Oreochromis niloticus: one gene and its partners. The protein of the gene in region 1 purifies or fractionates together with the protein of each later gene. This does not show direct contact. Links are inferred from orthologs where the notes say so. Each region holds a gene or a part of one and is shown on either strand. Other genes may lie near its edges.

Evidence for each region. Proteins that work in one complex are often made in the same cells at the same time.
Region 2: the proteins of dld (region 1) and ogdhb purify together in Homo sapiens (affinity purification with mass spectrometry; 3 studies listed by BioGRID and IntAct, counting the BioPlex papers as one, with this or other methods). This does not show direct contact. The link is inferred for Oreochromis niloticus from reciprocal best matches to the Homo sapiens genes DLD and OGDH.
Region 3: the proteins of dld (region 1) and pdhb purify together in Homo sapiens (affinity purification with mass spectrometry; 3 studies listed by BioGRID and IntAct, counting the BioPlex papers as one, with this or other methods). This does not show direct contact. The link is inferred for Oreochromis niloticus from reciprocal best matches to the Homo sapiens genes DLD and PDHB.
Region 4: the proteins of dld (region 1) and dlat purify together in Homo sapiens (affinity purification with mass spectrometry; 4 studies listed by BioGRID and IntAct, counting the BioPlex papers as one, with this or other methods). This does not show direct contact. The link is inferred for Oreochromis niloticus from reciprocal best matches to the Homo sapiens genes DLD and DLAT.

What each region holds. Positions count from the first base shown.
Region 1 is NC_031972.2:3,413,007-3,420,352, forward strand, and holds the start of dld (dihydrolipoyl dehydrogenase, mitochondrial), read left to right. Parts: upstream 1-4,341; 5' UTR 4,342-4,458; coding exon 4,459-4,497; intron 4,498-5,558; coding exon 5,559-5,634; intron 5,635-5,936; coding exon 5,937-6,016; intron 6,017-6,133; coding exon 6,134-6,202; intron 6,203-6,743; coding exon 6,744-6,813; intron 6,814-7,346. UniProt on the Homo sapiens protein: Lipoamide dehydrogenase is a component of the glycine cleavage system as well as an E3 component of three alpha-ketoacid dehydrogenase complexes (pyruvate-, alpha-ketoglutarate-, and branched-chain amino acid-dehydrogenase complex).
Region 2 is NC_031972.2:9,756,092-9,763,948, forward strand, and holds the start of ogdhb (2-oxoglutarate dehydrogenase, mitochondrial), read left to right. Parts: upstream 1-4,844; 5' UTR 4,845-4,980; intron 4,981-6,204; 5' UTR 6,205-6,369; coding exon 6,370-6,603; intron 6,604-7,857. UniProt on the Homo sapiens protein: 2-oxoglutarate dehydrogenase (E1o) component of the 2-oxoglutarate dehydrogenase complex (OGDHC). Participates in the first step, rate limiting for the overall conversion of 2-oxoglutarate to succinyl-CoA and CO(2) catalyzed by the whole OGDHC.
Region 3 is NC_031970.2:12,962,242-12,969,323, forward strand, and holds the start of pdhb (pyruvate dehydrogenase E1 component subunit beta, mitochondrial), read right to left. Parts: upstream 3,014-7,082; 5' UTR 2,932-3,013; coding exon 2,893-2,931; intron 2,809-2,892; coding exon 2,749-2,808; intron 1,803-2,748; coding exon 1,695-1,802; intron 1,599-1,694; coding exon 1,536-1,598; intron 1,435-1,535; coding exon 1,399-1,434; intron 925-1,398; coding exon 734-924; intron 650-733; coding exon 555-649; intron 1-554. UniProt on the Homo sapiens protein: The pyruvate dehydrogenase complex catalyzes the overall conversion of pyruvate to acetyl-CoA and CO(2), and thereby links the glycolytic pathway to the tricarboxylic cycle.
Region 4 is NC_031975.2:13,575,570-13,583,283, reverse strand, and holds the start of dlat (dihydrolipoyllysine-residue acetyltransferase component of pyruvate dehydrogenase complex, mitochondrial), read left to right. Parts: upstream 1-4,701; 5' UTR 4,702-4,877; coding exon 4,878-5,132; intron 5,133-6,571; exon of another isoform or gene 6,572-6,722; intron 6,723-6,831; coding exon 6,832-6,933; intron 6,934-7,011; coding exon 7,012-7,136; intron 7,137-7,551; coding exon 7,552-7,711; intron 7,712-7,714.

The DNA of each region.
Region 1 (7,346 bases):
TATTTGAATATTCTGAAAAGACCAAAAACCAACATTTGTAGACCAGGATGATATTAAGTCATGGAGAGATTTCCACAAATTTTGGAAAGTCACCCATAAAACATGTGCTGTGTTGTTTCCAAAGTTGTTTTACAAATATAACAATTGTCTGACACAAATTTAAATCTTTCTTTCATGAATTCATTAGAGGGGTCGATGGTTTTTGTAGTTTTAAAATGAACTTTTTTAAATTTGGGGGTTTGGGAATTTTAAATATTTAGTTCTGATCAAAGAAATCTCACATTTGTTATAATCTTTTAGAATGAGTGAGCATTTTGTCCTACTTGAATATAAGGTGTTAACCAAATACTTCCTCCAAAACTGATTATTGCATTTTTCATTAACAAGGTCTGGACCATCTAATTTAATTTTACGTAAATTTGGAGTTGGTATATTTTGCGTTGATAAAAACTATCGGGATATTCTGTGAAACGTTTTTGTAGAGCTCAATTGAACCACTCATGCTATGTTTCTCATTAAACCTGTTTAATTCAAGTATATTTCTGTTTTCATCCATTATATGTGTGACAGACCAAATTTGTTTTGTCATTCATTCTTCCACAAACATAGATTTCCCCCGATTCAATATCACCCTATTATTCCACAGTGGAACTTTGTGGGGACTAAAGTTATGTTTGAACATTAATCTCCAGTTTAACAAAACTTGTTGATGAACTTTGGAGAGTTTTATGAGAATTTGATATCCCCGACTTTGTTGAAAATAAGAGATATAATAAGAGGTATCAAGAACCAGATCTCATCATCATTGTTTAGCCAATTAAGCTTTAACATTCCCTTCATTATTTCAAAATCACTTGCTTTTAAACCCCCCTCTTCATAGTCTTTTATAAAGTCCCTGCTTCTGATATAGTGAAGTTTTTTCCCATATGAGATTAAAATTAATCTTATTGATTTCTTTTAATATCCTTGGTGGGATGGCTAGGGAACAAGCTGGACAGATTAATCTGGACAAAGATTCAACCTTGGTTAACATTATCCTGCCGAACAACATTAAATCTCTCTGTAGCCAATTGTTTAAAGTGTTTTTGCATTTGTCAATTGTATTCTGAATATTCTTTTCTTCACTGTCAGCCATGCATTTAGTTATCCAAATTCCAAGATATTTGATTTCATTTTTGACAGGTATATCATACAAGGAGGAGTGAGAACAATTATGGATACTCATGAGTTCGCATTTGTCCAGGTTCAGGCGTAGGCCAGAAGCATCAGAGAAAATCTTTATTGTGTCTAAGCCAAATGGAATTTGTTGGATTTTGGAATTTGGCAATCAGTTTGCATGCTTATTCTTAGTATGGTTAACTAATTGGGATTTCAAATATGCAGTCTACTGATTTAATATAAAATTAAATATTTGGCTGAATTGTTTTATTTCCATACAGCTGAATCCTCCCCAGAAAACCAAAGCAAATGTTTTTTAAAAAATAATTTCACCTGAGTAACTGTGTTATTTAAAAGATTAGCCACAATCAGTGTCAATTTTCAGAGTTTCTTTCAGTTAGTAGCGTGTTTTGGATTCATCAGTTTAATTTTAATAAAGGAGTTTTCAGAGAACTGGTCCAAAATTAGAGGTTAATAGGAGGAAGAAAACATAAAGAAATAAAATAAATTATAGCCTCCACACATTGTCTGACTTTTGTGAGCTGAATTATTGTACGATAATGCAGTTACAGTTTTTGCTTTATGTCCATTTATCCTCCCAGTGTGGTCATGGCTGCTGCCAGCTGTCTGCTGTCTGAAGACCAGTTTCTGTGCTGCATCTGTCTGGAAGTGTTCACAGATCCAGTCAGTACACCATGTGGACACAACTTCTGCAAGAACTGCATCACTCAGTACTGGAACAGCAGTCCTCTGTGTCAGTGTCCAGTCTGTAAAAGGAAGTACTACACAAGACCCGAGCTCCATGTCAATACTTTCATCTCTGAGATGGCTGCTCAGTTCAAGCTGTCAGCTCAGCAGGAAGCCAGCAGCAGCGGAGGAGAAAACAGAGGATGAAATTCAGGAGATGATCCAGAAAAGAAAGATTAAAATTGGGGAAATGAAACACTCTGTGCTGCTCAGTAAGAAAGAGGCAGACAGAGTGACAGCAGAAGGTGTTCAGATCTTCACATCTTTAATAGAGTTTGCAAAGAGCAGCATGAAAGAGCCGATCAAGACAATTGAAGACCAGCAGAGAACAGCAGAGAAACAGGCTGAAGGCCACATGAAGGAGATAAAGCAGGAGATTTCTGAACTTATGCAGAAAAGCTCTGAGGTGGAGCAGCTCACCCACCCTGAAGACATCCTTCACCTCATCCAGAGTTTATCTTCCGTGAAAGCTGCTGTCCCCACCAAAGACTGGACCAACATCAGTTTGGATGGTGGGGAGAATTATAAATCAGGTGGAGAGGAATCTCAGAAGTGAGTTAAGTAGAGTGACTGAGGCTGAGCTGAAGAGGGGGTTACACAGTTAAGTTAAAATTTAACCCTGATTTTGTCCCTGATTCAGTTCAACCCAAAGCTCCCCAGTCTGCGAATGGTAATTGTATATGTGTTTTGTCAAACCAGGGTTTCTCTTCTCAAAGATTTTACTTTGAGGTTAATGTTAAAACCCATCGTACATGGACAGTAGGAGTGGCCAGATATGTGAGCAACCTGAAGAGAGAAAGCACCAAACTGAGCCCTGAAAATGGTTACTGGACTGTTTGCTCGGGGCCATGGTGATCAGTTGATCCATCTGTGAATTTAAGAACTGAGAAAGTGGGAGTGTTAATAGATTATGATGAAGGCCTGATCATTTTTTATGACATTCATGGTGTAGCTCTTATTCACTCATTAATTGGCTGCTCTTTCACCTAGAAACTCTACCTGTTCTCCAGTTCCTACCAAAATAATGGAGTTCAAATCCACACCGGTAAATGTTTGATATCATAGATAAGTGTCCTAAAAGGTGTTCTAAAATAAATCTACATAAATAAGGGGAAAAAAGAGTTTTTGCTATTTGAATTGTTTTATTTTACACCCGTGAACCTCCCAACAACTGCCACAGGTTTGTATTAAGATGAACATTTTTGATGATGACATTTTGTGATTTACACTGTTGAGAACCTATGAAAATGTTTTAATACAATCTAAAATAGAAAACTTTCATTTTGGAGGCAGTTTCACTGACAAAGATACAATTTATACACCGTAAAATATAACCTATAAATATAATACATGTGGGGTAGTTGAGGAGGGAAAGGTTAATCCACTTAGTTAAGACTTGCATGTGTATATCTGGGTTGCTTTTTTAAAATATTATATATTATAAATCTAAGCTTCAATAAAGTGATTTTTTAAGTGTTTTGTGTGTTAATTTAACTCAATCATCTCACATCTTCTACAATGATTTCAGCAGGTGGTTTAAAGAGCTAAATGTCTCCACCTAGTGGAGTTTATCCCACACTGATAAATGTGCCCCTGCCTTTACATCTCTGACACTTTATTTGTCTCATAGAAGCAACTTGTGCAAAAGTTGAAAACCTCTGTTTCTTCTCTGTGACGCCACATTTCTGCTGATGTGTTGATTCAGATATTAAAACAACGATGCAGAAATGCTCATGTTAAACGAATTCACACTTAATTTTCCGATTGTGTGCCTTTAGCATCATCTTTCTGTGATGTTACATTCTTTGTTGGGCTGCTTGTTACAGCTGCAGTGGACATTTTCCCCTAGTTTTTTGTGAGCATGGGGGATTGTGCAAAATTTACAGTTAACATATGGCAATTTGCAGACCAGATTAAAATTCGCAAAGGCTTCGATTTTGTCATTTCCTTTTAGAAATGACTTTTAGATAAGGCATGAACTGAGTGGCTGTAAATCAAACAAAAGTTCTCCCCACTCCTAAATCCTGTCCTGTCTGGCAGCTTTTGCAATCAAAATTAGGATCTGTTGAACCAAATACATTTTGCTTTTCCAGGATGAGCTCTATAAATATAGGCTTCTCTTGTTTCTATTATCTTTATTTATTCATTTCTTCAAAACCTTCACCAATTTAATGTCCGTGACGTAGATTTTCTTATTTGTATGTCTGATTTTATTGTGAAGCACTTTGTGATTTTTATCTGTGAAATGTGCTATATAAATAAATTTTATTTACTTTTACTTTACTAAGACCAACTTACTCACGGTAGCAAACTTTCAATATTCAAACTTATATATATATATATATATATATATATATATATCTGTAAAATTTGTTTTAAAATGATTTTGTTTTAAAAAATAACATTTGTTTACCCTTCGCAAACTTTGACGTGTAATAGATGCGACCCGGAGGAGTTTTCTGTTTGGACCCATACTGCGCTTGCGCAATGATAGGAGTCCTTGGCTGCTCGGCCTGCTGTAGGTTACGGATCCAGTGAGGGTACACCGACAAAATGCAGAGCTGGACACAGTTATACCGCTCCCTGGCCACGGTAAGCATTCATATTATTTTCGCTATAACCAGTATGCGAAACCCGGATGTGTCGTAAACTGTCCTGCGTGCTGCAGATCTAGAGGATAGGGGAAATTTTAGACCTGCGGCCCACACCTGGCTAGCTACTCGGCTAACAGCAGAAGGCGAACCAGACTGTACTGGAAAAAACATGCAATTTGGAGTTGTTGTGGTTATCGATGTCTAAACACGTTGCTTGATTTTCAGTTGATGTGTTACCTATTCATATACCTTTTTCCTTTTAATTCGGCATGAGTTAGACTAACAACCTTCCCCACATTTAAACTAAATCACGACTTTTCTGGTTAAATATTGCTGCAGTATTTTGAAGTAAAACCTGCAATGAAAAGAATCGTGATATTTGTATTCTGCTAATATTAAAAGGGCTTAAATCACACAAAGCTAGAAGAAAAGCATCTAGGTTCTATGACTTGGCAGTTGACATTTCCCACTCTGGTGTCGTGTTAGCTCGCTTAGCTGTTTAGCAGCGGTTGCCTAACTCTTAATTTATGTCGTAAGCTCAGCTGTTGTCTCACAGCTTCAGGGCGAGCATCCCGATTATTCCGAATTGTTTCGGGGCTTTTAGAAGCTTTGCGACTCTATAACACTTAAATAGTAGTTATTTGCTAACTTGGTAGTCTGCTAAAGGGGAAAGTTTCAGAGTTGCTAGTGGACAGGCTGAGGGTGTCCTTGCTGAAAGCTGGCACTGCAACAGCAAACCAGCTGAATGTGGTACAATTCCATGAAAACAAGTGCATGAGTCTAAATATTAAAATTTAAATTTTAGTTTAGTAGTTGAGTTTGCTCCTTCGTGACTCACTAGGCTTCAGTATCTGAGTATGCAGCTTTAAAAGGAAATAGTAGTGACGTAAATAGAAATTTTTAAGCAGCAGATTACTGAAGTGAGAGAAGCCACTGAAGACAGATACTTTTAGTTTGCAAAGTTGGCTTGTGATGCACTATAACATTGTTTTTGTGTTGCATTGCCTAGTTGTATTGTGCATGTGTATTTTCTAACTGTGCATTTTGTTTGCTTCACAGCGGAGCCACCACCTGCCCTGCAAAGTGCACGGAGCTGCAGCGCTGTCTGTTCGGACCTACGCTGACAAAGCAGCAAGTACGATTGTGCTGTAAATCTTATCATAGGACTTTATTTATGGCACAGTGTTTACTGAACTGTAGCCACATGTTTGTGCAGTTTGATCTCTGATGTTTGTATCAAAGCAGTCTCATAATTCAGACTTGCAGAGAGTCTCAGGTGCTGGATTTGGGTGGGGATAGGACTTCATGGACTATGTAAAGAGGGGTGGTAGAGAGCTTGCATTAAAATGTTCATTTACATACACCAGACTTTAATCATGTAGTTTTGCTCTGGTGGCGTAAAGTCATGCTAAAAGCTGCTGTGTTGCCTCTCTGCAGTTGATGCAGACGTCACAGTGGTGGGCTCCGGTCCAGGAGGCTATGTCGCTGCAATCAAAGCTGCACAGCTCGGCTTCAAGGTAACCCACCTGCCCAACAGATATCCTGCTGTCTAAACAGATCCCACAGATGGTCACAAGTGGAAGTTTTTGGTGAATAATGAATCCCCTGTCTCTAAATTTGTTATTCTTTGACAGACAGTGTGTGTCGAGAAAAATCCCACACTCGGCGGGACTTGTCTCAATGTCGGCTGCATCCCCTCGAAGGTAACAAACTGCTTTTAATCTCCACAAATTCACAGGTTTGTTTGTAAGAGGTTTGATCAGTATGATCGTTTTACAGAGGAAGGAGAGATACCAAGGATGTTTTTATCTTGGGTTTGGTTTTTCTTTCAGAACTTGTACACCTTTAGTATAAAAGTAATCCAGTGACGGTTGTCTATCCATAGATATATTATAAAGGGTAAATGCTTCCATGGAACACATTTGAGTAGTACAGACAAAAATTTTGCCAGAAAGAACAGCAGCACATACCGGTAGCATCTTTTTATTGTCTTGATGAATTCAAAAATAAGCCAATACTTCTGGGTTTAGCCAAACAGAGTGGGAAAAACATTTTCAACTTCATAATAACGACTAAATTTCACAGAGAGAGGAAAGCAGAACAATCTTCACCTAAAAAGAACTTTTCAGTTTGGTGATAAGCACTGAACGTAAGATTGATTAAACTATATTGAATCCGTAAAATGACGTAAACGTGTATAAAGTCATTCCTCCAGCTGAATAAGCTGCTGTTTTGTTTCTGCAGGCTCTGCTGAACAACTCCTACTTGTACCACTTGGCTCATGGGAAGGACTTTGAAAGCAGAGGCATCGAAAGTAAGAATCACCATCAGGCTTTAAAGGGAACATTTTGTGTAGCTTACTGATCCTTAAAGGGGGCTTATTCTGCTCATTTCCAGCTACATGTTATAATTTTGAGCTCTAGTAGAGCTTTGCATGATTCAAAGTTCAAAATAATCCTTCTTTATGTCATAGAGGTTTTTGTGCTGCCCCTCAGTTAATCCTGTCAGAAACAAGCTGTGTTAGCTCTCCTCGCTTTAAGCCAACCCTCTTATGATTGGATGCCCCTCATAAAAAAAGGTTTGACCAGCAGTACATGCTCTGTGTGCCTGAAATGACTATAGTAGAGAAATCCATTGTCTTAACCTTTCAAGTAGATTTTTTTTAGCCAAGATTACACTGAAGGTCATTATTTGCAGCATTAGCCATATTTAATATAAGCATATACGTTATTATAACACTTGTGTCTGTATTCCTTAGTATTGGATGCTGATGGCACAGAACATGTGTTTTCGACAATACACTTTAATTGAATGTAACTTGTTTTTCCATCGATTTCTTAGTTTGAC
Region 2 (7,857 bases), about 6.3 Mb from region 1:
CTTGCCTCATTTACCCAAGGACTTTTTTTGATGCCAAAGTGCCTTTTTATTGAACATTTATACTCCAATGAACGGATTGGAGGGCAGCTTACCTACTTGAGGATACTTTGGCATGGAGAAGCCAGATTTCAAAAAAACAAACCTTCTCATTAGTAGATGACCTGGTCTACTTCCCGAGCAACAGCCACCCCTCAATGTTAGTGAGTAAAACCAAAATATTAGGTAGAATATCAAATCCTTTAGTTTTACAATATCTCCCAGAAATATCTAGTGTCGTTTGCTGTATTTTCCCTTAATGATCTAACTTTCTGTCCTCGAGGGGGCATCAACTTCTTCAAGCTTGACATTTAGACTGACTACAGGATTAAAGTACATACATGATGATTGAATGTGAGAAGAAAAATACTGAAGATTAAAGACAGGCTTATACAGGCTGTCAGATAAAGCACTGAGCTGGTCTGTTTTAGGACATATTCACAATATTGTCAAATTACTTTAGCTCACTTAACAAATAGTATAGAACATGATAGCTCCTAGTTTGATCCTTCAAATATCACATACACAGTAAAGCTTAAATGATTGGTTGAATCATCGCAGGACGATGACTGGAAAGATCAAATCATGGAAGTGGTTTTCAAAGAAAACTATAAAAATTAGCTGGTTCCAGCTTGTCACCTAATGGAGAAAAGAAACCAATTATTATGAAATATTAAAATATACATATATAATTTTATAAAGTGAACTAAAGAAAAATGTATTAGAAAGATAACTTTGTGCTTCTTACAACACTAAGATATCAAACCTTAGGTACTAAGTGGTGATGTAAAATACACCATCTACTAGGGTAAATGTATGGGCATACCGGCAATTCACAATGTAATGCTTCTCACCATCCATGCTGATCATGATGTAAAATAAAGAAATATGCTTTCAAATACTTGTTGCATTGAATCATAAAAGTTAGAAGAAGTATTAAAAACAAAAACACATTAAGCACCTAAATTTGGAGAGACGCATGGTGAACTTGCCAAGCCAAGGCTGTGATTTAGTGTTTCACATTTTGCATGAGTAGTGTTTTGTATCAAAAGGTAAAAACTTTTTGAGCCAGTTCAACACATTATTAACAGTCATTCAAAACAGTCTTTTATTAATTACTAATTATTTACATTACAAAATGAAACGGGGAATTATGCATCATCAGACAATCTTGAGGTTGTTTTTGTTTTTTAAACCATTAGTATCAGTGAAACTCCACAGCTATGGCTTTAGGACAAACCCATGAATTTCCCTTCCTGGTCAAACCAAATGTCAGTGCTATCAGTACTTTAATTGGATTGGTTACTTAGAATTAGTGTCCTCTTTGAAAGCTGTACCTTCTTACTTAATAACTAGGTTTGGGCCTGGGTGTTAATCTTAGGCTTCACCTCCAAAGACAATTTAAAGTGTATTGATAGATCCTTATCATTTCTTCTTCTGTGTTCATGTGAGCAAGTATGATATGAATGATGATGATGGTGATGACTGTATGTGAAACAAAGCTTTTATCATATACTTTTTGTATTTATTATATGATGATGATCAATATTAAAGTGTGATCAGATGTAATCAGTGTGTAAACTAATAAAACTGTCCACTCTACTATTCCGTCTTATCTCAACTCACAACCTTAGAAAGAACCCTGTATTGTTTTAGTTTTCCTTGTGTTTTTAGTGCTTTAAAATGTTACATGAATAAATGTCAGTATTTCCTCTAAACAGAATATTACTCAGAATATTCCAGCAAGTATTTTTTAGAAGGCAAAGTTTGAAGGGTCAGTAAAAACATCTCAACCACCACAGTGATTACAGGAAAGCTCGAAAAGTAGATTTACTCATGAACTGTGCTATGGAATGTTTTAAAGGTGTAAAGTTACTTCTCTTTTGTTACATTTCAGGGTAAATGTCTTACTTTACTGCATTTATAGATTAACAAATTTACAGACAAGGATAGAAAATGTAATCTGTTGTTAAACATTATACATAATTTTATTTTGCTGGAATTCTTACTCTACCCTTTCTCTTCCACTTATCCAATTTAGGGTCACAGGGGGGCTGAAGCCTATCACAGTTGCCATAGGGCAAGAGGCTAGGTACAACCCTAGTCTGACTCAGGGTCAACACAGAGAGACAGACAACAATTCACAACTATGGGTAATTTGGAAAATAACCTAACCTCACTAAAAGTATGTCTTTGGACTATCGAAGACAGCCGGAGAACCCAGAGAGAACCTATGCAAACCCGTGGCCAGACAGTGGATTCTAATCCAAGACCTTGCTGTGAGGTGGCAGTGCTAACTACTGTTTTAACATGCCATGGATTTCATATGTAAGGTTTGTAAGGTTTTTTAGCTTACAGAGTTAAGTTCCCTAATTTGGTTGCTTTTGTAAATTGGAGCTAAATAAATAAACCAAATTGAAATATACTAAATTTAGGGAGATAAGACTCACCTTTTGCAAATACCTTAATGTCAGATATCAAAGTAGAACGGATTATAGTGAAATACAGTAGAAAAATATTTAAAATTGCAGTAAAAAAAAGTAGTAATTCACTAGCTGGGATCACATCCTCAGATAGGTTTGCTAACATTTTTGTAGATAGTGGCAGATGGCTTGAACATAAATTGAGGCTGTGGTTTTTGGGAAGGCCTCAGAGGGGGACTGGTGGCAGCTCCTGGGTCAGGCAGATCCCTATAAGAAGTGAATTATTTGAAAAAGGGAGAGAGGGTGGGTACGAATCTAAAGCAGACAATAGCAACCTCGTTGTACAGGATACAGTAACCATCGCAGTGGCAGATATTCAAGAAAGGTTTGCAATATATAACTTGTTAGGGGTGAGGGGAGGATGACAATACAAAAGACACACTATGGAAGAAAACCAGAGTTTTAGAAGGATTTTGAATTCAAGAATGAAAATAAGCTAATATGGGATAAATATGGTCTCATTTTCTAGTACTCTTGCACGAGCATCATTATGATTATTATGATTAGCAGAAGTAGTAGTAGTAGTAATAATAGTAGTATTTGCAATGTTGACTGGTTCTGAGAGATCTGGGAGGCTGCTGTTCTCTGCTCTTAGGTACACCAGCCACTTAGCATTGATAATGTGTAATGCCTGTTTTCCTCAATGCTCTTCTAGCATTGCTCAATTTCAGCTCAGGATCTGCCCTTGTATTGTTATTCGCTTGTAGCTGAAAGCACAACCTGGGATCTTTGCATGGATCTTTGGAAAACAGGCCATTTCTCCTCTTGGCTTCTGCTATGGAAATCTTGTTGCACTTTCTTATTCATCTAGGACCAGGTTTTTCAACCTGTTATACTGAAAAATAAGAAAAAGACTAGCATACCATAAAAAAACAAACAACAAAAAAACATCACAAACAGCAGTACAGAACCAGGAACATGGGATCTGTCAGCCTGAACAGAGACAGAGACACACATGCCTACACACAAGAAAATGATATTGCCAGCATCCACGGAATAGTACCAAGAAACTGACAAAAGTCATGTTTAATTAAAGACTAGATAAGGAGAATATTTTTACGATTTTTAAGGCTTTGCCATTTTATTTAGTATTTTTTTTTCTCTTTACAAACAAATTGAGGAACAGCAATACTGATAAATTACCAATTTGTGTGCAAAATGTTCATTTGATTTATGCCCAGATTTGATTGTTAATGACGTCCATTGTTTTAAAGTACAGAGCCAAACAAAGGAAGAATTCTTCAGAGAAGAGGCAGCCAGCTGATATTTTGTCTGCAGTAGCTTCAGCAAGGCTGAAGATAGATGATTTTTTTTATGAAAGGAAAGTTTAAAGGGCAAAACTGCTGTTAAAAGATTCTTGACTTTATTACCTATTATGTTTGCAATTCATTTAATTAAATAAAGCTTTCATTTAATGTAAAACATCTTCTGGTAGTGGTGTAAATACATTTATTCTATTTTGAATGCAGTGTGGTATTACTATGTTAATGATTTGTGCTGTGAGATCCAAGTTTACATAATGAAGTGGCTGAAAATCTGTGTCACCACCACCTGAAGTATGTGTGAATGTCTTTCTTGTCTCCTCTGTGTCTGCCTTTAGTGTTGCAAAGACTTCATTAGCATCATGAATTAAGCTGTGTTGCCAAAACACCAATTACATGAATACATATTAACATCAAAGTCAGTGCCAGCAGGGTGCAGAGGTATCGGAGCCTGTCTGAGAACAAGTTAATAAGCTGAGGGATAAAAATGCTTTTTACCTAAGGTCTGCTTTGAAGTACTTTGATTATATACTGTGAGCCATAGGAATTAATCATTTCAGATTTTAATACAGGTATATTTTTCTTCATGAAACAAGATGTGATAATTAGAAATTCTGCTTTTTCACCAACCAGACTGACAACATTGTGACCCCAATAGACTCAACCGGTGATGGTATCAGCCTTCTACACCAACACATAACTTTTAACACCTCTTTTTTTCTTAGAGTTTATATCATCTCTTGAGTGTTTGTATGTGTACTCGTGCGGTTTAATCAGTAATGAAATTTTCTGTAATCAGAAAAATATATATTTCTATGTAATAAAAAAACACCACAAAAAAAATCTTATTTGGTTTTGTTTAAATGTGACTACATTCCAGATGTAGTTATCCATTCATTACATCTCTGCCCACATTAGGCGCATTTTAAACATGCATATCATTTGAGTTGAACAGACAAAACTAACCCTGCATTCAGTTCAGAACACCAGAGAACGAAAAAGTTTTCTTTGTTGCTTACTTAAACAAGTAATATCACTACCGGGACGCTTTTCAGCACCGGGGACAAGACAGCGCTCGCGCGCGCGACACACACGCGCACACAGACTTTCGTCTACGACAGGACCTCTGACTTCCACTCATTTACGACACGGAAGGCTCCGGGGAAGGCGTCGAAAGCACCTACGAGACCGCGGTAAAGGTAACAAAGTCGATGCAAATGAAGTGTTATCCTAAAAGCTTTATTTAACGAGAAACTTTACTTTGAACCTGATTAATGCTTCGTAGGGGCCCCATGCGTGATGGTACGGTTTTTGAAGTGTTCTTGCTTTGTTTTCGGTATTGTATTTATTTTATGCAGATTTTAAGGTTACAAGTCTTTTTGTCTGTGCTTCAGGCTATATGCCGTCCCCCAGTGAACTTCATTTTACTAAGATTCTTTTTTCCTGGAAAGACCCGTTAGATGTGTTGTTAACCCGCACCGGCGTTATTCTTTGTGGGTTTTCATAACTAAATTCCTCTGTGTTGTCTTACTGCTTGTGCTCATAGAAACATTCGATTAGAGCGCCACAAAATGCTGAAAAGTAATGACTAGAAATACACCAAAAAACATACATTCTCCTTTTCAGTAAAGTCTGCTAAAGGTTAAAGTCCAGGTTTTACGAACTACTGAGGTGTCTTTAACAGTAAAAGCTATTATTTTCGATCTGCTTTGTTGCTTGCTGAAATAAACTGCAACATTTTTCGACAGTTAGCGTTTGGCCTACATTTAATAGGCGCATGTGTATATAGTGGGTGAATGGTGTCCCTAGAGACTATAAATTATAATATTGAAAACCATATCTAAATCTAAACCATGAATGTAATAGCTAAATGCTGAGTCTTAAAACTTATAATTAAGTCATAGACAGTATAAACATGGGGCACATCTTGGTGAGCAGGGGCCTGGTTGCAAAAGTACTTCTTGTTGTTCACCTTTTAAATATTGGTAATACCAAGATTCAGGGGTAAGCAAATCACAAGTTGTTAGCCACTTTTCTGTGCTTGTTAGCAACCTTCTGCTTCTTTAGCATGTAATGATAGACTAGGACTCCTTCCCCAGTCATTTCTGAAATAACTGAGGCCTCAGTCCATATGCTGCCTACGGCACCTATCACATTTTCAGAATTTTGGTATGAAAGGGAAAAAAGAAAGGAAAAAAAAAGAATTTTGGTATGAAAATGTATTGTAAATATCAGTTCTGGTGCAAAATGCATACCTTAATTTACAACTAGCACTTCTTCACATACAGGACACAAATTCACAAGTACTGAGAAACTGAATAAAACATTGTTTTGGCCTTACCATGTGTTTTTTCACAAAAATATATTTAATATTAGCCTTATTAGGTTTGCTCAATTACAAAATCTATATCTGGAATCTGCAGGATCCATTGGGCAGTTGGGAGAAGAGAAGGGGCAGTGTCTGCAGATAAGCCAATCTCTCCGGTTCAGCAAGCCAGACGGATTTGAAGAGGGGCAGCTCCTGATTAGCCTGTAGGATCTCCTTGTCCAGGAGAGTGATCCTGCAGAACTGTGACTCATCTGCCGCTATGCACTGCTTAAGGACTACGGCTGTAAGGCTTTGGCCTTTAACGGCTGTACAAATGACCCAGAGCCTATCAAAGCCTCTACCATTGGCAGTTAAACAGGGCTTAAGGAGATCTCAGCCCACAAGGCACCTGAACACACCTCTAGCTAGTGAACCCTTTCTCAATGGCACCAGCTCTAACTATGTGGAGGAGATGTACTACTCATGGCTAGAGAATCCAAAGAGTGTGCATAAGGTACAGCACATCCACCTTTAATTCTGTGTTTGATGTTGTTGTCATTTCTGCAGTTATATATGTTTAAAATATGAAACTGCATGTAAAACCAACCAAGTGTTTTGGTCGGCAGAGATGACCTAATAATGGATATATAACAGGGAAAAATAACTCCACCTCCATCAATTACAGACATAAAATGCAGCCTCCACATAAATCAACGCATATTTCAACCCAGTCATTATTGGTAATTAATAAACAGGTATTAGGTTGCCTGGTGTGGGACCAAAGTTTGATGGTGATTAACCAATAACTGAAAAGGTGACTATGACACAGTGTTTAAATTTGTATAAAGGAGAATACATTTATGATGAAATTTAAAAAGATAAACAGAAACAGATTTTCAAAATAAATGGGGATGTTGGTGGTGGCTGGAGGGGGGTCGAAAAATGGAAAATAATAATAAATAAGTATATATTGACAACTAAATACACATGTAAAGAAAGAAAGAAAGAAAGTTTGACAATTTTACTAAAACTTGAAAATACCAAATTTCCACACATGAACATCGAGACACAAAATTGTCCACATCTGTACTTCTTGACATGTTGCACAGTGACAATCCACTGAAGATACATTATTAGTGGAAATACTGGAATTTAGGTGATGGAGCTGCCTGAATAGAGTGTAAAGGACTTATGACACACTCAGTATGAATGCAATAGACAACTGCCTGCACTATTCTCACTTAGGCTATTCTCACTTAGACGTCACACACTACGAGACTATGCACTATGTCTCCAGTCTAAACGATGAAATGCAAAAAACTGTAGTTCATGGAGTGGCAACTTGAAGCTGCCTGCATAAATTACACAGTTCACATAGAATTCCATGTTTAAGTGGGCAGCTGAGTTTTTGTTTTATAACTCATCCATTTGGATAAAGGTTTACCATTAGCAACATTGGCAGTTGAAAGACAAGTAATAATAATAATAATAATAATACATTTTATTTGAAAGCGCTTTTCAAAACACTCAAGGTCGCTGTACACAGTAGAGTAAAAAGCAACATAAAAGCAAAGAGTTTACACAATCATAAAACATAAACAAATTTAAAATAGCAAAGTGGAGAGGTTATGTGGGATAAGCTATTTTGAACAAGTGGGTTTTGAGTTGGGACTTAAAGAGAGAGAAGGTAGAGATATTTCTTAAATCAGGAGGTAGGGAATTCCAGAGTTGTGGAGCAGAGCAGCTGAAAGCCCTGCTCCCCATGGTG
Region 3 (7,082 bases), on another chromosome or scaffold:
AAATAGCATGATTAATAGTACAGTTCCCTTTTTTAGGAAATGACCTGTATGTATCTGTATGAAATCAATAAAGGAATCAAATACTGCATTATCTTTAGTTACATTGATAATATTTATTTATGGAAAAAAACAGTGGAGAAATATCGCTGTTGCTTTCGTATAAATGAAGTGTACATACCTGAGTGGCCGCGATCTAATCCTGTTTACATAAAGTAAGCCTACTCCCAAGCAGGTTTACGCTTACGAATCTGTTGCTATGACAGCAAGTCCCGGATGAGCTTCGGAGAACCGAACGATCCAAGATCACGCGAAATCGTCAACAATCAAATCCAGCTACTTACTTAGCGAGGTACGAAGAACAGACCCCAGAACAAGAACTAGTCAGTTGCAGTCCAACAATGCTTGAATTACTGTTTGACTATTGGCTGAGACACATTAGGGACAAGCTGGCTTATTTAATTAAACACTGATGTAATCAACTGGAGCTAGCAGTGCCTGAACATTGATATGCAGGGTTACATCCATGTTTTAAGCTTTTCAGTGTGGCATCTCACCAGGATTTTCATCTCTGATGGCTGATTTCAGGAGGCCTTTAGCATCTTCTGAGTTCCATGGACTTACAACCTTCAGTCCTGGACAGTGACCATACCTGGAGACAAATGACCACACTGATGTCAGACCTGCCAAACATCAGCTAGTTACTGCAAACAGTAACGTGACGTCTTGAACCCACCATGCAGCAAAGCACTGTGAATGCTGTGCAGCGACGCCTGCTGACGCTCCATTAGGGCCTCTGAAAACGATTGGAACTGACTGTAGCCCAGCTGACATGTAATAGGTCTTTGCTGCAGAATTGATGATCTGGTCAATGGCTTGCATGGAGAAGTTAAAGGTCATGAACTCACAGATGGGTCTCAGACCAGCCTGCAAGAGGACATTGATCTTGTTAGGGAATTTGTCGATTGCAAGTTTCAAGTATAATAGGGTAGTTTGAATCTGAAGAGCTTTCATAATCTGTACTTTGAAGAATTCTAGTCTAAAGGAACTCTTATTTTGGCATTTATGGCTTCAAGGTAGGAAAAGTGCTTTATTATACAAGTCAAAGTGGCTTGGGAGTTGCCTGTGTACTGCTTCATTGGTCTTGAGGTGTAAAGCTAATTTGGTGGGCAATGGAGCCATAATTCAGGTCTGTAGAGAGCAAAGTGTGCACAGAACTGAATTACTGCTTAGAATTCAAGTGTAATTATGAAGCTCTTAAACTTAAGCCCATTATCTCAGGTAATGGACTCAAGATTATTCAGGGTTTAGAATGATGTTTTAGACAGACTCAAGTAAAAATGTTACAAACTAAAGTCAGTTTAATATAGTCCCATCCCATCAGGAACAGGTCAGACTTACCATAGCAGCTCCTACTGCAATGCCAGTAAACCCCATCTGCACCAAAAACAAAACGTTACTAAAATGAGTCCAACACCACCAGTGGTGATACTTAGATTTGTGGAAAACATCTGTAGGGCAGGTCGTTTGGAGCTCACCTCTGAGATTGGAGTGTCAATGATTCGTTTGTCTCCATACTTCTTCCACAGCCCTCTGCTCACCTGCACCAGTAACCACCATTAGTCTGACTGCCCTCATTGGGACAGAACACAAACTGCCTCCAGGAACTTCACTCGCAATCTGAGCTTTAAACTTACCTTGTAAGCACCGTCATACTGGGCGACTTCCTCACCCAGCAGGAACACCCGCTCATCCCTCTCCAACTCCTCATCCATTGCCTGGTTCAGGGCATCACGGACTGTCATCTAACATTGGCAACAAAACAATCAGTACACGTCACAGAAAACACTGGCTTCCACATACTGAAGTTAAATTTTTAACTTATGGACGCAACAATAGCAAGTTTCCATCCAAAACCTGTTTCATATAGGGCTGTAAACAATTTCCGGAGACTTTAGTCTCAAGTGGCTATCAGAAGACTGAAGGTTTTAGTTCAGAACTCAAAAGCTGAAAGTCATTCTTGGTAGTTACTTGTATCCAACACAAGTAGAAATTATTTACATCTGTTTAGTTTTGTCACCAATTTAATGGCCACTTAAAACCAGTGCTCTGACCTTAAACCTGTCCATTACTCCGCCCTAGAGTGCACAGTCTGATGTCACAATATCACAACCATCTTCCATTTACAGTCTCTTAATGACAAGCGAAAGATGCAGTTTGTACTTCGGTGAAAATGCCTTGATTAATTTTATCCTCCTGCCAATTATATTAAGGAATTGCTTAAAATACACGAGCAACCCCAGATGCAGCTACAATATTTAAAGACACTTCGAGATGTTGCATGTGTATTCCAGCAGCACTTCTCGTTTTGGAGTTTAAAATACTCCAAATTCCAGGATTTTTCTTGCTGTTCTGCTTAAAAAGTGTGCATTTTGTTGTCTGCACTGTTTCAGAGCTTAAGCTTTGTTTTAATAGTTTTCCCCTCAAACTCCTGACAGTGATTTACGTTAATGTGAGACAGCTGTCAGCGCGATGAGGGCTGATGTGATGTAAACCCGCATCCCTCTGCTCAGTGACCGCACAACCGCACGACCCCTAAACCTTAACACACGTATTTAAAACAGGCAGCTGCTGATTAAAACAAGCCCCCATCCAATCTTCAGCCTATTATTGTTGTCTGTGCAATCAAAACTATATTTACCGATATCATTCGCTGTAGAAACAGCTAGCCTGCTAGTTGCTAACACTGACCTGTACTGCGGCCGGAGCGCTCCTGTGAAAATCCCGCCGCTGCAGAGCTGACACGGTATTCTGCAGGAGAACAGAGCGAGAGCACAAACATTACATTCCAAGAAAGACCAAACACTGCTTTAAAAACATCGATTTAATCTATACCTTTCCGGAGCGGAGAAAGCACCTCAGGGACGCTGCCATCTTGAACCTGTCCTCTGTCGAACTAGAGTGACGTGATAGTGGAAGCTGGCGAATTTTAGCCAATCAAGATGGCACCTCATAGGTTGATTGGAACGTGTCATTTCGAACAGCCAATCACAGCGGTCAACAAATAAGGAGGCGGGAGAGTAGGAAATGGGCGTAAAAATATCCAAGGACACGGAGCCGCGCAGGCGTCATGTGTGGAAGGCAAAACATACATAGATGCATAAATAAATAAGTAGTGCGATTCACTCCTTTTTCATTCATTATTTTTTTTTAATTTAATCTGTGCACTTTGACATTATTTCATATGCTACACACATTCTAGTTGGCAATGGACAATGGCACTTTTGTAAGTCTGCAAGTTTAATTTCCAAACTTTTTCATATCCATTAAGAAATATGTTTCCAATCCTCATTCTGATCAAGCTCTAATGGTACTGTCAGTTTACCACATATCATCATAGAAAATAAGTGAAAACATGAGTTGCACTTGTAACATTTATAACACACACACACATTATGTATGATTGTATGATTATGTATGACATATATGATTATGTATTGAAGGTTAACTTTACTGGTATTTATCAAATTAGTGCTTGTTTTAAGATTCAAGACTCAAGAACCTTTTATTTGTCACGTACACATCACGTAATAGCAAATAGAAGTCATATATATGTGCATGTTTATTTGATGTTTTCTGTCCTCCGACATCAAAATCAGTCTCAGTACTAATTTCTATGCTGAGTGGAGACAGGAGACTATATCTAAGAGATGCAAAGGTGTATGCTTTGCACAAGTCTTTTTAGCTTCAGGTATAGAAGAGGTGTGGCCACACCTGGGTCATACAAATAAAGGTAGGAGGAAGATGCTTTAAGCAACGTTAAAATAATCAAACATTAAAATAATCCAACCTTGAGTTCATTTCACCTTGAACATTGTGTCCCGCTGTGAATTAAATTAAAAGTGACCATAAATATAAAAAAATGCAATTAACACTGTTACACCTGAGACCATAGAGTCAATAGTTGTAACATAGCTCCTCGTAACAAAACAGTTGATGATGTAGCTGTGTCAGTGTCACAGAGGGATGGATGCCTCATTTTGGTCAATGCCTGTTGCCATGGCTTCTTTCTTCTTGTCTCACTCTCGCCACTTTTCATGATGCGGGCAGAGCCCAAAGATATAAAACCTACCCTTCGTCTGCCTTCACGGAACTCTTCTTTGTCAGGCAGCTGTGTCTACACCACTACTCTTTATGCTTCCACCTGTGCAACCTCATCACTTATCTTTTAGTTACCTGTAAATATCCCTCCCTGAGCAAACCTTTTAACTTTTGATAAGCTTCCATATAAGATGTCACATCCTGCCTTTTCCATCTTCCCCTGTTCATCACAACTATAAGAAAACGTGAAAATAAACAGGAAACTGCTTTTTTCCCCAAATGTTTATTCATTTGATACAAGTATTATTTATCACAGCAGCCAAATCTATTTCACGTTTGCTGATGATGAGGGGGTCCTCTTGCAGCTGCATTAATACACTCCTCAGGAGATTAGAGAGAATTTGCTGCCTTGGATTATTTTTTATTAACAAACATCCCCGTGGACCGGGCTTCCACCCCTCTAAAGTGCTGCAGAGACACATTCTGGTTAAACGTAATGAGCATTCATGCTAGGCTGATTGCACTGAATGATGAAAGTAAATGATTTGAGCACTGAGCTGTCATCGAAGGGCTAAAAACTTGGTTTTTAAAGAGTCTTTAGGTTACAGGATTCACCTGAGCTCCAGATTCAGCCACCAACGCTTCAGCACACAAGTTGGGTGATGAGGAATAAATCACCACAGGTGGTCATAGTTTCTGTTGCACACAGTGGGTCCTGGCTGCCCTGTGGTGACAGCTGTAAAAGTTGCATGTAATTTAAAGTTATAATTATTCACCTGTTGTGTTTTCTGTTGCAGATTTACAAAGTTTTACTCTGATAATTTTACAGACATGTGGACTATTGTTAATTGCTAACCACTCTAAGCCACATGCTGAAGCGTTGGCATACTACCACAAACAAAACGATGAGCTCATGTACAATAACAAAAAACATTCAGATTTCTTTAGGCACTATCACCCAAATGGGTATGGCACAATAACAACAAACAAAAGTCTGGACACAAACATTAAAACAGAGGAAAAAACAAACATTAAAAAGAATCAAAATCAGAAATCAGGGTCTGAAGTTAATCCTGAAGGCGAGCTGAGCTCTCTGGGGCTGCACTTCATCCACAAAATTTCAGTGCTGAATGTTATTTGTGTTTAATGTTACACAGCACTGCATGCTTGGAAAGAAACAGTTATATGAACAAGAATAATCTTCCCAAATACACTCGGGACAATAATAAACCGGTTACAGATCATCTGAAGCCTTGGTTCAATCAAACTTCCTTACATGGTTTGTGGCATTAGGTTAACTATTCCCAGAAGTACAGAGTAATGTTGACGGCAACGCATTATCTGTAGTTTACTTGTGGATGGAAGGATTATTAGAAATGATCTGGACCCTGGTCAGTGATGTGAAGAGACTGATGGACCAAAATAAAATCAGGAAAAAAAAATTGAGGATTTACTTGAGGTCAGGAGAAAAATGTGATGCGAGATTAATTTCAGACCCTGAGCACAATCGGAAGCAGAGCTGCTCATTGCCATGCATCCAAGTTGCTCTGATGCGGGGCAGTACAGACGTGATGATCTACCATAAACCTCAACAGCAGGCGGCTGATTTTAAATTCATGCTGCACTAGAATGAGAGACTGTGAGGATACCAGGTGAGAAAATTAATGTTATTGTTCATTTCCCTTTAATCCAACTGTAGTGCAGAGCTAAGGAGAATTCTGGGAAACTGTTTTCATCAACTGTGAGTAAAAGGAGCTAGGACGCACACCATCAAAACCTTATTTCTTCAGTGCTCCACACTTGCTTCATGCACAGTGCCTAAATTTATTAGTCCACCTCTCAACATAAGGTTTATGCCACAGCTGCATAAGTAATCAGTATTGGTAATTAACAAATTTGTTCTTTTATTCATTTGTGTAGCAGAATGTGCAAGCTTTTGAATCAAAATATTTCTAATGCTAAAATATAGTTATTTTTGTTATCCATGAATTTTTAAATTTACTGTTTTACAAGGAAAAAATGAAAGCATGATATATTTTGACTAAGACGCCAAATTAGAGTCATTTACATGCATTTCTGAGCAGAAAATCTTGTGGTTGAATGTTGATTGATTTATTTCTGTCCAGAGTGCCGGCTCACATTTGGCTGTAAAGTGATGAATTCAGTTTGCCTCAGAAATAATGATATAACTCTGATCTAATGTTTTTTTTTTTAAATAACAGGTGGTCTAATAAATTTATTAAACACGGTACATCGCATCTCCCTCCATTATACTTTGACCCACCTCTTTTTTCTGGGGGGTTATTTCTCCCAAACTTGTCATTGCCCCCTCATGCCATCATCAAATAAATGTGCACAAACAAACAGCTGGATGAAAACACAAGTAGTGTAGTTTGTAGCTTCCTATTCATTTAGCTGCTCTTCGTTATGTGCTCTGCCTCGTGCAAAATATTGCGCCCGTTTGGTCCAAAAGAAGGAAAAAAAGGAGATAAAGATGTTCAGAATCAATCTAAACTGGGATTGTTTCATGCTTATAGAGCTCGTGAGAGAGAGGGGTACAGTCTGAAGAACTGTGGAGACAACTGGGGGAAATGCAATGCAGAGAAACAGACCAATGAGCAGAGCGTCGGTTAAACCTCCACTGTTTTGTGCTGCAACAAACAGTCATTTCTGTCTGTAATTTCAATGTGATGTTTGATACTCAACCAAAAAATATCTACAGATCAATAAGATGCAAATAAACGTTTTTTCTGCTTTCAAACTCTCAATCCAGGAAGATGACTTTTTCTTGAACACCTTGCACTGCATTGGTATTTTGTTTTAATTTAATACACGGCATGACAGCGAGTTAATTAAAGACAGAGACGACCAGTTGGTGTGTTTTGCAGCTCAGTTGTGAGGAAACTGGCTCAGCAGAGCCTGCAGGCTACATGTCAAAAAGTCGGAGATAATTTAAAAGAAGGAAAGTTTGGTCTACTCCATAC
Region 4 (7,714 bases), on another chromosome or scaffold:
ACTATACACCAGTTTTTGAATTGTGTCGACAGGCCACGTAAAACCAGAGTTATGATAAAAAATACACGCGATGGTTTTTTTTTTTCTGAACAAAACAGTGGTGTTTACAGCGGGAAGAACGGTAAAAACGGCGTTTTCTAAGGACCGCGCTAGCAAACACTCTCCACTTGCGAGTAAAAAAAAAAAGAAAATACACCCCTTCCCTATTGGTGTTAGAGTTTACCATCTCAGCCAATCAAAAAAATGATATGGCAACATGTGGCACTTGGTTGTTTAGGGAGAAAGGGAAGTTTTAGGAGTGACACCCGCGACGGAAAGCAGGCGCGCAAAAGAAAGAGAGCGCGAGTTTTCATATGTGAGACATTAGTGACGTTTAGCGTGTTTGGAGGCTAGAGTTAGTTTGTTGTGTAGTTATTGTTTTGTATTGTGTGTGAGTTATACTGCTGAATGTCACATTTGCTCCAAAAAAGCCATCAAAGGCAGATTCCAGTGTAAACGCTGTTCCCACATGGAAAACTGGACTGATACACCTCCTGCTGTCAGACCTGCAGGGTTTAGGCCTGTGCTGTTCTCCTCTGTCTTATATTGAACACAAACTATTTTTGGACTGGCACAAATAATTTCTGTGCCTTCTTATTTGATGCAGCACAACTGATTGTTCTGTAACTAGATTTAAATGGTTATATAAAAAACGCCCGAGGCCTTGGCTGCATTTTTAGGTAAATAGTACCATATAACTTTGTTTGCAAAACTTTGGGAACTTCAGGTTCATACACATGTAACGAAAGATACTTTATTAAATATTTACTAAATTGATATAAAAATTGTTAGTTTTCAAAAAGTGTGTCCTCCTGAATGGGATTATAAGCTAACAAGCAGCGCTGTGTGTTTGGCAGATGGCAGGTCATGACGGACAGTTCAACTCTCATCCCACTTTTTGTTATAAATGTCATAAGTGTGCTACATTGGTTGTGCATCAAAATTACTTTAAAAAAAACTGACAAAACCATGAGCAATTATCTGGAATAACTAATTTTAACATCTTATTTCTTAAGGCTGTATTTTTAGCAACAACACTTAATCTGTTTTAAAAACAAAATGGTAGGTTTATAAATGAGACTGAGTCTTATTTGATTTCCTTGTTTTAGGCCTCAAACATAGTCCAGCATCGACGAACCATCAGTTTGGAAGGGTTACAGATATTTATTCGTGACGACGAGACCAAACTCTTCTTAACATGTCTGGTGAGTATGCAAATCTACTCAATCTTCAGTTTTGGTTTACAGAGACTTGTATGTACTGTTGTTAATTTTGCATAGGATACAGATCCAGTTGAGAGGGCAACCCGAGGTGTTACGGTGGGCATCCTCACTGTTCTGGAGGACTATGTGGGACCCAACTCGCAGTCCACAGTGGTCAACACTGCCATTGTTTTGGAAGAGGACATTATTCTTGATGATCTGCCAGACCTTCCCACTGCCTTTGCCTACCTGTTTGGCCTACTTTATGGGGTCAACATGGAGTTTCCCAAAGAACTCAAGTACACATTTGTTTGCTGTATGGAAACCAGATAGAAGAGTTCATATCCTGCCATCTGATGTTTTGAATCTGTTTGTTAGTGACTATCAGTCAAGATAGGTTTGATTTTCTGTCTGACAATACCACACCTTTAAAATTGGATGAGTAACATTTGTTACAAAAATTTGACCTTTTTTTTGTTTTTGGAAAAGGACTTTATTTGTGGCTAAATGTTGTCAGTATGTTAAAAATGGCTCATCTCAAAACATTGTCAGTGGTACAGTTGTGTTTGAACACAAAGTTATTTGAAAATCAAAATTGTGTAAACATTCATTAATACAACAGGGAGCACCTCATGAAAACTATAAAGGATACTTTTTCTAAACTTTAGGAAATTGATTGGCAAAACAAAAAAAATATGTTGTGTAAACTTTAGGAATTACATTGTTAAAACAATGAAAAATATATTTTGTCAACTTTAGGAAATACGTTGCCAAAACTAAAACTAATACCTTGTGTAAACTTTAGGAAATACATTGCTAAGACAATAAAATATGAGTTAAGAAAAAGCACAGTTATTAATTTTGTAAACACAAAAACATTAGTTGAAGCAACTTTTCTCCTAAACTTGAAATTATAAGTTATCCATCAGAACCTAAAAACGTAAATGCAGTGGGTTGCCTTGAGTTTTTAAGTTTTTGCAACAATTCTTTTTTTAACAGTGTATTTTATTTAGTGCCCTGTGAACTAATGCCTTTCTTCCAACAATGTCTAACAAAAACACATGAATTTAAATAAAATATCCATAAAGTAAAGTAGAAAGGATTGCTTTTGTATAATAAAACAGTAAGAATAGGAGTAAATTTTGATATATTGGTATGTCATAAAGTCATGTATTATATTAGCAATGAGTAATATTGCACTGAAGTTTATGTTATTGAGTAATAAGGGGGCAGAAACTTGGAATAATAATGTGGAAACATTACTTTATTAACTTGGTTTTCCATATTATTACGGTCTTGTTTCCACATTATTACACCACTATTATGGCATTATTATGAAGTTGTAATAGAAAGGATTACCAAAGTGTGAAGAATTATCATTGAAATCATTTTTTAAATGTGTTTTGGAGAAGTTTGTCTAAGTTTATAAGACATCTTTGAGTTTCAGGAGAGGAAAAAAAGTGGTAAACATTTAAATGCATAAAGCAAAACATATAGTTGGCCCAGAAATTGAGCTCAGCATCACACATACTGTTTCATCTTGCAAAGAAACCCTGTAATGTTTGCCAATATTCCCTTGGCTTGTCCATTTGAATAGTGCATGGAATGACATTTATAATACGCCCTTTACTCTGCTCACCTCATTATAGGTAAGGCAAGCTGTGAGGAAATGGCTTTAGATTATGAAAAACAGAGCCACAGGAATTCAGCTGAAAAGTCCAAACCTTTGGCAGTTCTCTCAGGAGAATCTACACATACAGTGCATTATTTACAGGTTAGACAGGTGGCACATTAGAGTATAAATAATGCCAAAAATTGTCAACAACATTTGCTTTAATGCTTTGTTTTCTTTTTTTCTTTCTTTTTTTAAATATACCTTCATATAACACTGGATCCCTTCTGTGCAGCCTATTCTAATACTAACTCAGCCATGGATGAGCTGCACAAGGCAATAAGGAGTCAGCAGAACTCCTATCCCAATGCAGTGTACATCATAGTTGGGGACTTTAACCATGTTGACTTAAGGTCAGTATTCACCAAATTTGAACATTATAGCAACAAGGTGGAAAAACACACTGGATAAAGCCTACAGCAACATCCAAAAAGGCTACAGAGCAACCCCTCTCGGACTAATGGTGTCAAAGGCCCCTCCCATCAGAAGGAGACACACTCCACCCACTCCAGTTCGCATACAGAGCTAACACATTAACTGAAGATGCCATTGTTACAACGCTCAGAATACTGCAGCAAGACTCTTAACAGGCACCAACAAAAGATCTCATATCACCCCAGTTTTGGCCTCCCTTCACTGGTTGCCTGTAAATTTTAGGTTTCATTTTCAAATTTTACTTCTAACCTTTAGGGCCCTACATGGTCAAGCTCCACAGTATATATATCTGACCCGCTGAAACTGCATTCATCTTCCCAAGCTCTAAGGTCATCAGGTCAACAACTGCTGATTCCACCACACACTCAATTTTAAACTCGTGGTGATCGTTCCTTTCAGGCAGTGGCACCACAGTTGTGGAATTCTCTTTCACTGTTTTTACACTGTACTGACACCACTGATTCTTTTAAAAAGCAGCTGAAGATATTTTTATATAGACAAGCATTCAACTAATTTGTTGTTTTTATGTTGTATTTTATTGTTTTACATTGTCCAGCATGTTGACTGTTACCTGAAATGCCACTTACTGACCAACAGATGGCACTCTTACAAATACCAAATCTGATTTGGTATCTGTAGTCAGACAGTGCTCGTGTCATCAGTGTCACTTTAACATTACAAAGAGTAAAAACAAGTAAAATATATTTACAATAAGCAGACCTAAGTGCCGGAAAGTTCAAACACTGAAAAGCACAAAGGCCAACTTTGTGTCATCCTCTGAATGCTTCATGACACTCTTAGACAGTTTTTATCCTTCAATGCTGATTTGACTGAGTTATGATGTGTACATGGTTTTATTTATTTACTTACTTTCACATTTACCTCGACTTACTTTGCTTCAGCCAGCTGTGTTTTTATAATCATGCAGTCATCGGACCTTTGGAACCTTTGTGAATTGGACAAAATCCAAAATAAATTCAAACTTGTGCACCCAGTTCTTTTTTTTTTAAGTCATTAAAGATGCCATAATGGGTATATGCAAACTTCTCGCCATAACTGTGATACATAAAATCAAGATTCACAGGCTGGCTGGACCCAGGCAAACTTCCCAGTAAAAGAATCTACTGCCATCATGTGGTCATTGATGTGATTACAGCTTAATTACATTTATCGCTAAAACAGTTTGAACAGTTCTTAATATAATTTTTTATTTGCTTTACTTTGTTTCTTTAGCATTGTACTTTCATTGGCAGTGGTGGTGTTTTTTTGTTTGTTTTTGTTTTGGGGGTATTCAGCGACTGAATTGTGAGCCGCTGCCATTTACGACACCAACGACAAAGCTACGACAGCACAAGCAAGAGAGCCGTAAATCGTTGTGTTTGGGGCTGGAGGAGGTCATTAGAAAGTGAGGAGTTAAATAGGGGCTGGCTGTCAGGGAGAAGAGACCCTCGGTGTAGGTGTAGCTCTCATGCTGGTGTAAGACATACATATTATTCACCAGCTCTGTATAGTATTCCAACCGCTGCGAAATGCTTCGTCTGATCCTGCGGCTCAGGCCGTCCTCCGGGCTCCGGTGTCCCCGTGCCCTCCCGGCCGGGCCTGCTGCGCTCAGCTCCCGCTCTGCTCCCGGAACCAGCTGTCTGAGACGGCTTCATTATGGAGCAGGGTCCCGAGCGGCCTCTCTGGGCTCCGGCTTCAACCACAGAGCGACTCTTCTGCGGTCTCCCCAGCTAGCAGGTGGATGTCAGTGCAAGCGCTTCTACAGCCTGCCGCCACACCAGAAGGTAACGCTACCGGAGCCGGTGTCAGGTTGCTATAGCACCCATGTTCACCGCGTTAGCTAGCATGACCTCCCTGCCTGTTACAGAGATCTGTTAAAAAACGCTTTATTAACTGGAAATCCGGCTCTTCCCTGTGTGAGGTTAGCAGGAACTGTTGTTACCTATCGTTTGAATCTCTGAACGACTAGTTTCTCCACTCCTCACTGGTCACTGAACTAAATAAAGCAGACACTGTTGTGACTGTTTGTGCTGCGGTTCTCCTGAATGACACCAATCCGTCAAACCTGACTTGTGTGCCCCAAACACGGAGGCCATAGGAAATACTGGGGCTATAAAAACGTAACACATGCCTGATGGTGCTGAGCGATACTGCAAAATTTGGTATCGATCCCGATACCAAATAAATACAGGGTTTCGTATTGCCAATCCCGATACTTGTAACCTATAAAGACAGCTTAAGTAGGGAACAGCAGTATGTTATTGTTTATGAGGTGATTTATCATAAATTTGCAAATTGTGAACAACTTTTAATGACCACTAACTGACTGAGCTTTGCCTTCCATAATAGCTGTGTTTTGTTTCCACAACAAAGTACAGCTTTCAGTTTGTCATGTATTTTGAAACAGTTTTTTTTAGACTTGGAATATAAATGTACCTTTCTCTAAAGCACTGTTATTTAAATGTGCTATAGCTTACAAATAACAAGGATGTGACAGTCACTACGAAAAGGTTCAGACACTTTTCATAGCAAATGTTTGAGGTATATTTTACTTTCTCCAAAAATAATTTATCTAACACAGTTCAGAGGGCTGAACGCTGAACTTGGACATTAGAAGTAAAGTATAGGTTGTATCACGATCTGATACCAATATCAGTGTTTGTTTCGGTACTATCGATATTTGGCTCAATCTGCGCACCTCTGAGACATTTTAACACAGTACACTGTGTGCACAGCGCACTCATTGTAAAGTTTTAAAAAGACTAGATTCATACTTTGTCACTTTCCCCAAGTGTATTGAAGTCAATTAGAGCAGGTGATTTGTGTTCTCCTCTGCTGCATTAGACAGAGGACCTGGAGGGAGCTCATGGTTAATTGGTTGTGGAACAACTTCAGGAACTGCTGAAAACATGAAACAATTATAACCTGGGAAGTCTGACAGGCTCGTCCTCCAATTTAAGTGACCTGCTGGTTTATACCTCTTCGTCAGTTGGGAGTGCTGCCTGTGGAAATTGCATGCTGTCCCCGAAATCATGAAACTGGCAGCTTCACTTTCTCCTTACAGTCTAGAGGTGTGCTCGTTAGGTTAATTGAGCGTAGGTGCAGATCTTAGGCTGTGAGCCTGAATGAAACCCTCCAGTTTTGGCTCTAAAGTGGAAGGCTTCTTAGTAGTCCTTCGACCTTTGTGTTACTCCACCAATAGCATGTCATTCATCTTTGCTGTTATATAAAAAAAAACTCAATAAAAATCAGCTGTGGTAAAGTGGATGTAGGTCATTTTATTGAGCAATGAATGAGGTGATGATGATGTAGCAACAGCAGTTACAACACCTGACTTCTGGCACTTTTTTGACTGGCCTGTTGAAAAGTTCCCAGTGAGGATACTCGAAAAGGATAATACAGATACAGTCTTTGTTTTTTGGTGTTTTTTTTTTTTAAGGTTTTAGGTTATACATTGATTTTATTCATTTGCTTGCTCTTCAGGTGGAGCTTCCTGCACTGTCGCCCACCATGCAGACAGGAACGATCGCTCGCTGGGAGAAGAAGGAGGGGGAGAAAATCAGCGAGGGTGACCTCATAGCTGAGGTTAGGAGCCGTGTGTGCCCACGCTGCCGCAAAACGTGATCGTGGCGTACATTTCTAATGTTGCCTCTGCCTTTGTAGGTAGAGACGGACAAGGCCACTGTGGGATTTGAGATGCTGGAGGAATGCTATCTGGCAAAGATCCTGGTTCCTGAAGGAACCAGAGATGTCAACGTTGGAGCCGTGATTTGCATCACAGTTGACAAGTTAGTGTGTTTGGACAGTCCAGATTCAGAGCTGAGGCCTGTTAGTTGAGTTTTTTTGTTTTTTTTCGTTTATAGTAATGGGACGAATTAATAGTTGGAAAACATTAAATGGGGAGCACTATGTTTTGATAGTGGCAAAATGCTGCTTTTATTTATTTTTTCAGTCCTTTAAGTCCTTGAGCTTTAACAAACATGATAAAAAAGACTTGAATCTTCAGAAAACCCTTACAATAAACTTTAATGCTGCTTGGTTTACGTCTACATTTGTTATGAAATGTAATGTAATGTGCTATATCAACAAAATTGCCTTTGCCACAATCAAATATGGGAGGTTAAAAGCTGACAGGGTGCCATATGGCTCGATGCAGTTGTGTCAGTTTCTACTCATTATTTGTGGATATATTTTCCCCTGCAGCCCTGACTTGGTCTCAGCCTTTAAGGATGTAACACTAGATTCGATCAAAGTAGCCGGTGCCACTCCTTCACCTGCTACCTCTGCGCCGCCTCCTCCACCTGCTGCTGCTGCGCCAGCTCCACCTGCAGCCCCTGGAAGCTCTTATCCCGCACACTTAAAGGTA